2 linked regions of the Nothobranchius furzeri genome follow. The protein of the gene in region 1 purifies or fractionates together with the protein of each later gene. This does not show direct contact. Links are inferred from orthologs where the notes say so. Each region holds a gene or a part of one and is shown on either strand. Other genes may lie near its edges.

Evidence for each region.
Region 2: the proteins of iars1 (region 1) and lars1b purify together in Homo sapiens (affinity purification with mass spectrometry; 7 studies listed by BioGRID and IntAct, counting the BioPlex papers as one, with this or other methods). This does not show direct contact. The link is inferred for Nothobranchius furzeri from reciprocal best matches to the Homo sapiens genes IARS1 and LARS1.

Annotation. Positions count from the first base shown.
Region 1 is NC_091743.1:62,670,886-62,674,708, forward strand, and holds part of iars1 (isoleucine--tRNA ligase, cytoplasmic), read left to right. Parts: intron 1-2,115; coding exon 2,116-2,260; intron 2,261-2,706; coding exon 2,707-2,827; intron 2,828-3,034; coding exon 3,035-3,126; intron 3,127-3,416; coding exon 3,417-3,494; intron 3,495-3,823. UniProt on the Homo sapiens protein: Catalyzes the specific attachment of an amino acid to its cognate tRNA in a 2 step reaction: the amino acid (AA) is first activated by ATP to form AA-AMP and then transferred to the acceptor end of the tRNA.
Region 2 is NC_091750.1:55,309,614-55,313,436, reverse strand, and holds part of lars1b (leucine--tRNA ligase, cytoplasmic), read left to right. Parts: intron 1-1,735; coding exon 1,736-1,818; intron 1,819-2,602; coding exon 2,603-2,741; intron 2,742-3,012; coding exon 3,013-3,225; intron 3,226-3,823. UniProt on the Homo sapiens protein: Aminoacyl-tRNA synthetase that catalyzes the specific attachment of leucine to its cognate tRNA (tRNA(Leu)).

The sequences.
Region 1 (3,823 bases):
GGTACGCTAATTATGCTGAGTTGAGCAGCCTGAGCATGTAATAGACCAAAGGCTACTCTGCAAGGTTTCTCTGTCACATCAGTATACTGTAACCTTTACCTGATTTACAGTCCCTTGTGTATAATTTAGTGCTTGATGGCTTTGCCTATTCAGGCCTTTATTTTAAACTTATGTCAGAGTTGATGCTCAATAAACCAGTTAAAGGTAATTACATGAAGTTTGTTTGTTTTAACTTTCATGGATTAGAGGCAAAACAAGATGAGTTGGTAAAATCACATTATCTTAAAATTGTCTTCAGCCGTCGGGTTAAAAGTTATTGGTTCACTTATATATGCAACCTCATTTAAAATCACTATATATATATGTACAGTGATCCCTCGTTTATCGCGGTAGATGCGTTCCAGACCTGGCCGCGATGGGTGAAAATCCGCGAAGTAGGGACACCATATTTACAGTACAGTGTCAGAACCCAAGTTCCCAGGCCAGCCTCTTCCAGCTAGCCGGCCTCCACTATGGACCACAACTCCCAGCATGCCCCTCGCGGGGATTCCCTCCACGCCGCACCTACGTCACGGCTATAAACGGAAGTCGCCTTTCCAGCTCACCACTCAGTCATCGTTTCTTCAGATTCATGATCAGAGTTTCCAACCTACCGATCCATCCCACGAACTATCAGCTCATAGTAAGTTATCTTACTTACTTCTGGAAAGCCTGGCATTTCCGTGTCACTTCGTTGACGCTCGAACGCTCGGGGGTTTCCTAGATCGTGAGCCGGCGTTTCACCGACGCTCTCACTTCCGCGTCTGTGAAACCACGCTCCCTACAAGCTCAACTCCCGAATCCAGCCGACCAGTCTGACATACAGTACTATATTGAATTATCGTATGATCACATTCTCTTTTTGTGGGTAAAACTCAAGAAAAAATTTTTTACTTGTTTTTTTTTATAGTTTTATTTCAAAAAGTGCATTTTATGATGAAATTGATGAAAAAAAACAGGAATTTCTTGATATTTCTCATAGAAAAATACCGCAAATCGGCGAATTTCCCTTGAATAAGGCTCCAAAGAAAAAATCCGCAAAGTCGTGAATCCGCGATAAACGAACCGTGAAGTAGCGAGGGATCACTGTATATATATACAGTATATATATATATATATATATCCATCCATCCATCCATTTTCATCCGCTTATCCGGTGTCAGGTCGCGGGGGCAGTAGCCTAAGTTCAGAGGCCCAGACTTCCCTCTCCCCAGCCACTTGTGCCAGCTCCTCCGGGGGAATCCCAAGGCGTTCCCTGGCCAGGTGAGAGACATAGTCCCCCCAATGTGTCCTGGGCCTCCTCCCGATTGTACATGCCCGGAAAACCTCACCAGGGAGGCGTCCAGGAGGCATCCTGACCAGATGCCGGAGTCACCTCAACTGACTCCTCTTGATGTGGAGGAGCAGCGGGTGTACTCCGAGCCCCTCCCGGAAGACTGAGCTTTTCACCCTATCTCTAAGGGAGAGCCCAGCCACTCTTCGGAGAAAACTCATTTCGGCCGCTTGTATCCGCGATCTCTTTCTTTCGGTCACTACCCAAAGCTCATGACCATAGGTGAGGATAGGAACGTAGATCGACCGGTAAATTGAGAGCTTCGCCTTCTGACTCAGCTCTCTCTTCACCACGACAGACCGGTACAACACCCGCATCACTGCAGATGCAGCACCAGTCCACCTATCGATCTCATGCTCCAGTTTTCCCTCACTCATAAATAAGACCCCGAGATACTTAAACTCCTCCACTTGGGACAGGACCTCATCCCTGACCCGGAGAAGACATTCTACCCTTTTCTGAATCAAGAACGATCGGTCTCCGATTTAGAGGAGCTGATTCTCATCCCAGCCGCTTCACTCACTAACTCTCTCTCTCTCTCTCTCTCTCTCTCTCTCTCTCTCTCTCTCTCTCTCTCTCTCTCTCTCTCTCTCTCTCTTTATATATATATATATATATATATTAATTGTTTTTTTTTTTGTTCTTTTGAAGCTCCTTGTGATTTTTATCTTGAGAGGAGCTATATAAAAAATCATTTTGTTTATTCTTATAAACAACCATGTTTTCCTTGTGCCTTTGTTTAGATTGTATCTCATCAACTCACCTGTGGTGCGAGCGGAGAACCTACGATTCAAAGAGGAAGGTGTGCGAGACGTGTTGAAGGACGTCTTCTTGCCGTGGTACAACGCCTATCGCTTCCTGGTGCAGAATGTTCAGAGATTGGAAAAGGTATATTTGTAAAATAAATAAATAAATAAAACTTTACACAATTGTTCTTCTCCAACTATTTATATTCTCAAGCCCATAGTTCTATATGAAAAAAGCAAACCATCGCTTGAATATCACATTAAAAAAGCTATTTGACTTCATCTGAATGTGTTCGTATTATTTTTACTGTCTAGTGAAAGGAATCAGACCAAAAATGATCATTTCTTTGCAAATTTGATGAAAAGGATTTTTCCACTTTTCAGAACTAAAATTCATTTATTTTTCCTTTTGTTAAAAATTTGATTAAAATCATTAGGAGCAAAAGGCTGAAATATGTTTCCCTCCTTAAATATTTGTGTCGATGCTACTTTAAATAGACAAAATATACAATTACTGTAATCAGATTACATTAGTGATGAACTGTGCTGAACATATAAACAATTGTTGTGTTTGCAATGATTATCCAGGAGGATAGGATCCAGTTCCTGTACAACGAGAACACGGTGAAGCAGAGCGACAACATTATGGACAAGTGGATCCAGTCGTTCACACAGTCTCTCATTCAGTTCTTCAAGGCTGAGATGAACGGTGACACATTCTGTCTCTCTCTTTTTAATTATTGTCATTTTTAGAAATGTTTCTTCACCTCCTCCTGCTATTCTCGGCTACAGTCAGAAGATGTTCTCAGTTAAATAAATACTTGTTAAGCTTTAGTAACATGAAATATGTCTGAGCCTGCAACCAGATCATGCTTTATTCTTTGGAGCGTAATTCGACAGTTGGTTCTGGTTGCAGCTTACCGCTTGTACACGGTCGTGCCTCGCCTGGTCAAGTTTGTGGACATGCTCACCAACTGGTACGTCAGGACCAACAGGCGCCGTCTGAAGGTGAGAAAACGGCTCCAAAATTAACTCCTGATTGAAATGTATCACTAGATCCATTTCGTATCTGAGAATTTTTCTCTGGTGAAACATAAATGTAATAAGTACTGAAGAGATAGTTAGTAGATTTGTTGTTTTATGGAGTAAATTGTGTTGATTAGTGATTTTGTGGCTGTCCTTCAGTCGTTGTGTTGACTTTGACTGTGGGGTGCGTAGCAAGTGTCTGCAGTGGAGTCTTTATATTTTTATTTCTCTTGAGGGGAGAGAACTTATGGATGTGTTTGTGATCCTTGTAGGGTGAGCGTGGCACTGAGGACTGCCTGTGGGCGCTGGAAACCCTCTTCAGCGTTCTGTTCTCCATGTGCAGGCTGATGGTGAGTCATTGGGTTTCAGGTGAAACCAAGACAGAAAGGGGATGGGGGTGCAAAAACTGAAATTGTGTTATGAATTATGCACGAGCAGTAGGAGCTTATATTCACAACACATTGAAGGTGTTTGCATGTGAGCTATGAGGCACTTAGCCTAACCCAGGTCAGTACAGATCAGCTGTGATCTTTGCAAATAAATTAGCTTGGGTTTAAATCCAGTAGTCCAATTAGAAAAATATTCACAACTTTACAGTTTGTTTAAAAATTTACACTTATTAATGAAAAGATGTACAAAAAAAATCTTTCAGACCTTTTATGTTAAAAAATGTAAATTT
Region 2 (3,823 bases), on another chromosome or scaffold:
CCTGCAGTCTTCTCCAGAGCGTCACTTCCTTCTCCTACTGAAGAAGGATGCAGGAGTAGTTGAAACGTCAGCAAAAAAGAAGGTAAAACAACCTTTCTTTGTGTTAAAAAGAACCAAGTAATACAGTCAGAAGAAACACTTAGAATGAATGCACAAAATATGTTTAAAGAGAATATACATTCACTGGCCACTTTATTGGGTACACCTTTCTAGTACTGGGTTGGACCCCCTTTTGCCTTCAGAGCTGGCTTAATCCATTGTGCCATAGATTCAACAAGGTCCTGGAAACAGTCCTCAGAGATTTTGGTGCATATTGACATGATAGCATCACACAGTTGCTGCAGATTTGTCGGCTGCACATCCACGATGCAGATCTCCTGTTCCACTACATCCCGAAGGCGCTCTATTGGATGGAGATCTGGTGACTGTGGAGGCCATTTGAGTACAGAGAACTCATTATCATGTTCAAGAAACCAGTCTGAGATTCGAGCTTTATGACATGGCGCATTATCCTGCCAGTTAGTACTAAGGGGTTCAAAGTGTGCCAAGAAAATGCCCCCCACACCATTACACCACCACTGATACAAGGCAGGATGAATCCATGCTTTCATGTTGTTGATGCCTGATTCTTACCCAATCATCCGAATGTCACAGCAGAAATCGAGCCCGTGCACACGATCGGCTGCCGTTTCTCACCACTATCAGCTGATGGAGGGCCCTACTTTTGTTTCACTGCCGTGTGCCATTCGTGTTAGGGGGCATGGTAGGGTCGGGGAGGGCGGGGCATGATGCTTAGCCTGGCGGGTGACCAAGCAAAGTATGGCGGGCCGCCAGGCTTATAAAGCACTGGGGGAAACCCTGCCTTAGTTTCCTGTTCTTAACTGACAGGAGTGGCATCAGGTGTGGTCTTCTGCTGCTGTAGCCCGTCTGCCTCAAGCTTCGACATGTTGTGCATTCAGAGATGCTCTTCTGCATAGCTTGGTTGTAACACGTGGGTATTTGAGTTACTGTTGCCTTTCTAGTAGCTTGAACCAGTCTGGCCATGTCTCCTCTGACAAGGCGTTCTCACCCACAGAACTGCCACTCACTGGATGTTTTCCCTTTTTTTGGACCATTCTCTATAAAACCTAGAGATGGTTACATGCAACAATCCCAGAAGATCAGCAGTTTCTGAAATACTCAGACCATCCCCTCTGGCACCAACAACCATGCCACGTTAAAAGTCACTTAAATCACCTTTCTTCCCCATTCTGAAGCTCGGTTTGGACTGCAGCAGATCGTCTTGACCATGTCAACGTGCCTGAATGCATTGAGTTGCCACCATGTGATTGGCTGATTCGTAATTTGCATTAACGAGCAGTTGGACAGGTGTACCCAATAAAGTAGCCAGCGAGTGTATTAATTTACCTTGTTGTCTGTTGATGCCAAATAGAAAAATGAACAAGTTAACTGCAAGCTAATTTTACAACAGTTGGTTGTTTGTGTGATTTGCACTATTTGTTGTTTTAGTGTGGTGTTGTGTTACATTTGGTATAGTAATACTAAGGATAAGTACAGAATGATATGTATAAAAGGGGTAGGGACATGTAAGTTTCGACTTCGTCCTACTTCTTTTCAGACAGAGAAGAAGAAAAAAGTATGATGATTTTATATATTTTTTTCTGTTTTAAAAAAAATGTATGTTTTCTTTGTTTGCAATAAAAATAAACTACCTGACATTCTTTAAAACAATTAGATTTTGTGAAGAGACGAGGAGAAACTTCGAGGCAACTTTGGCCTGGCTGCAGGAACATGCCTGCTCTCGTACCTACGGGCTCGGTAAGTGAGCTCCTTGCCTGTGTGTGATCCATCGACTTTAATGTTAACGTTCTCATAACCAGAAGTAAAATCCTAACTTTTACTCTTGTTATTTACAAGCTTGTGAAAGCTGAAGGGGGAAAAATCCCTAATGGATGACATTTTTGGTCCATAGATGGAGACAGAGGGCTGATAATTATGCGCTTAGCAACAGTCTGCCTCTTCTCCTACAAGAATAGATGCAGTGTGAAGGCCAGTTGGCATGCATTACAAGACTGCTGCACAGCCCAGACTTTCTGTAGACGTTGTGAAAATGTGTCTACATTTAGCTAATTTCAACAAAATGCCAGGCAGATGCACGGTGTGCTGTAGACCGATATGAAGCACGCTGTTCATAGACTTTTCACCTAAATATGATTGTTGTAAAAAATCTCAGTCTGGATTCTGGAACAAAGATGTAAATGTGTGCTTATTATAATGTGATGAAGAGATTTTAACTTGGGACTGTAGAATGTCAGAACATTAAAGTAGCTTGTTGTGATCAACGACGGAGTGAGAATGGGAATTTTTTATGTTAAATTCTCCACAAACATCATTATGGACTCAGAGCTTGTGAATAAATTAGGTAAGAAACTTTTTAGTTTTGTGGAAATGCTCAAACAAGAGCTGGGTGGATGTCAGATTATCTGATTAGTTTGTTTTGTCTAATTTCTGGGTCCATGTTGTCTTACTAATTTAATCTCTCCTCCATCTCTCTCTCTGGTTGTGTGTGATTGTATGGGTGCCCATCTCCTGGTTACCATAGGAACACGGCTGCCTTGGGACGAGCAGTGGCTGATTGAGTCTTTATCGGACTCCACGATCTACATGGCTTACTACACCGTAGCCCACCTCCTCCAGGGGGGTGTGCTCAATGGTCAAGGAGCCTCACCGCTGGGAATCAAGTAGGAATGCACCCCTCCACAGACACACTCACTCACATAATAATAATTAACTGTTAAACTAAATGCAGCTGGCCCTCCGTTTTCTGCCTTCAAATAACCAGTGAGGTGGAAGAGACTATTTTGTAATCATTAGCTTTAATTAACAAAACAAAAATGTAATTTCATGCTGTAATCCAAGTTAAGTAGACTCAAACTTGATTCCTAAATCGGAAGTGACCTTCAGCCTACTTTCAAACATATTACCTTTCCCTCTGGTTTTTGTCCTTCACAGACCAGAACAGATGACCAGAGAGGTGTGGGACTTCATCTTCTTTAAAACGTCTCCGTTCCCCAAGACGAGCATCCCTAAGGAGCACCTGCAGAGGCTGAGGAGAGAGTTTGAGTACTGGTACCCTGTGGATGTCCGTGTGTCTGGCAAAGACTTGGTGCCCAACCATCTCTCCTACTTTTTGTACAACCATGTCGCTATGTGGCCCAAAGACAAGTGAGTTTTCTTAAAGCGAATGAGACAACTGTTTTATTTTACAAGAGCAAAGTTTGAGGCTGTTGCCTGGAGAATAACGTGTTAATAACAGTTTGTAATTTAGGGTAAATTACAGTTTCAGCCTGTCATCCAACTGGCATTTCCTTAAAAGAAGACACGTTTAGACTTATTTTTCTTAAGTTATAACAGTTCTATGGTCAATACAAAATGTGTTTCTGAAGTTCTTTGCACTAGATCCCTCTCACATAAACCATCTCAGCAGTTTTATCCATCATGATATTTTAGGACCTTCCGGAATGAGTCGCTTCAGCACTCTGTCACTTTAAGAAAACAAGCTGGAGCTGGCCACGCCCACCCATATCCTCTCAGGCTTCTATTCACTGAGAAGCTTGGATATCTGGGAGGGCCTTAGAGTAGAGCTACTGTTCTCTATGTACAGCTCTCTTTAGCACATAAGAGGTGGTTCTATGCTAAATTCCCCATTTGTGACATCACAAATAGGGACTCTTAAAAATGGCTTGTTTTAGGCACATAATTTTTAAAATCAAAATGTATGCAGGGTTTTTCCTGCGTTCAAATTTGCGTGGCGGCCACCTCC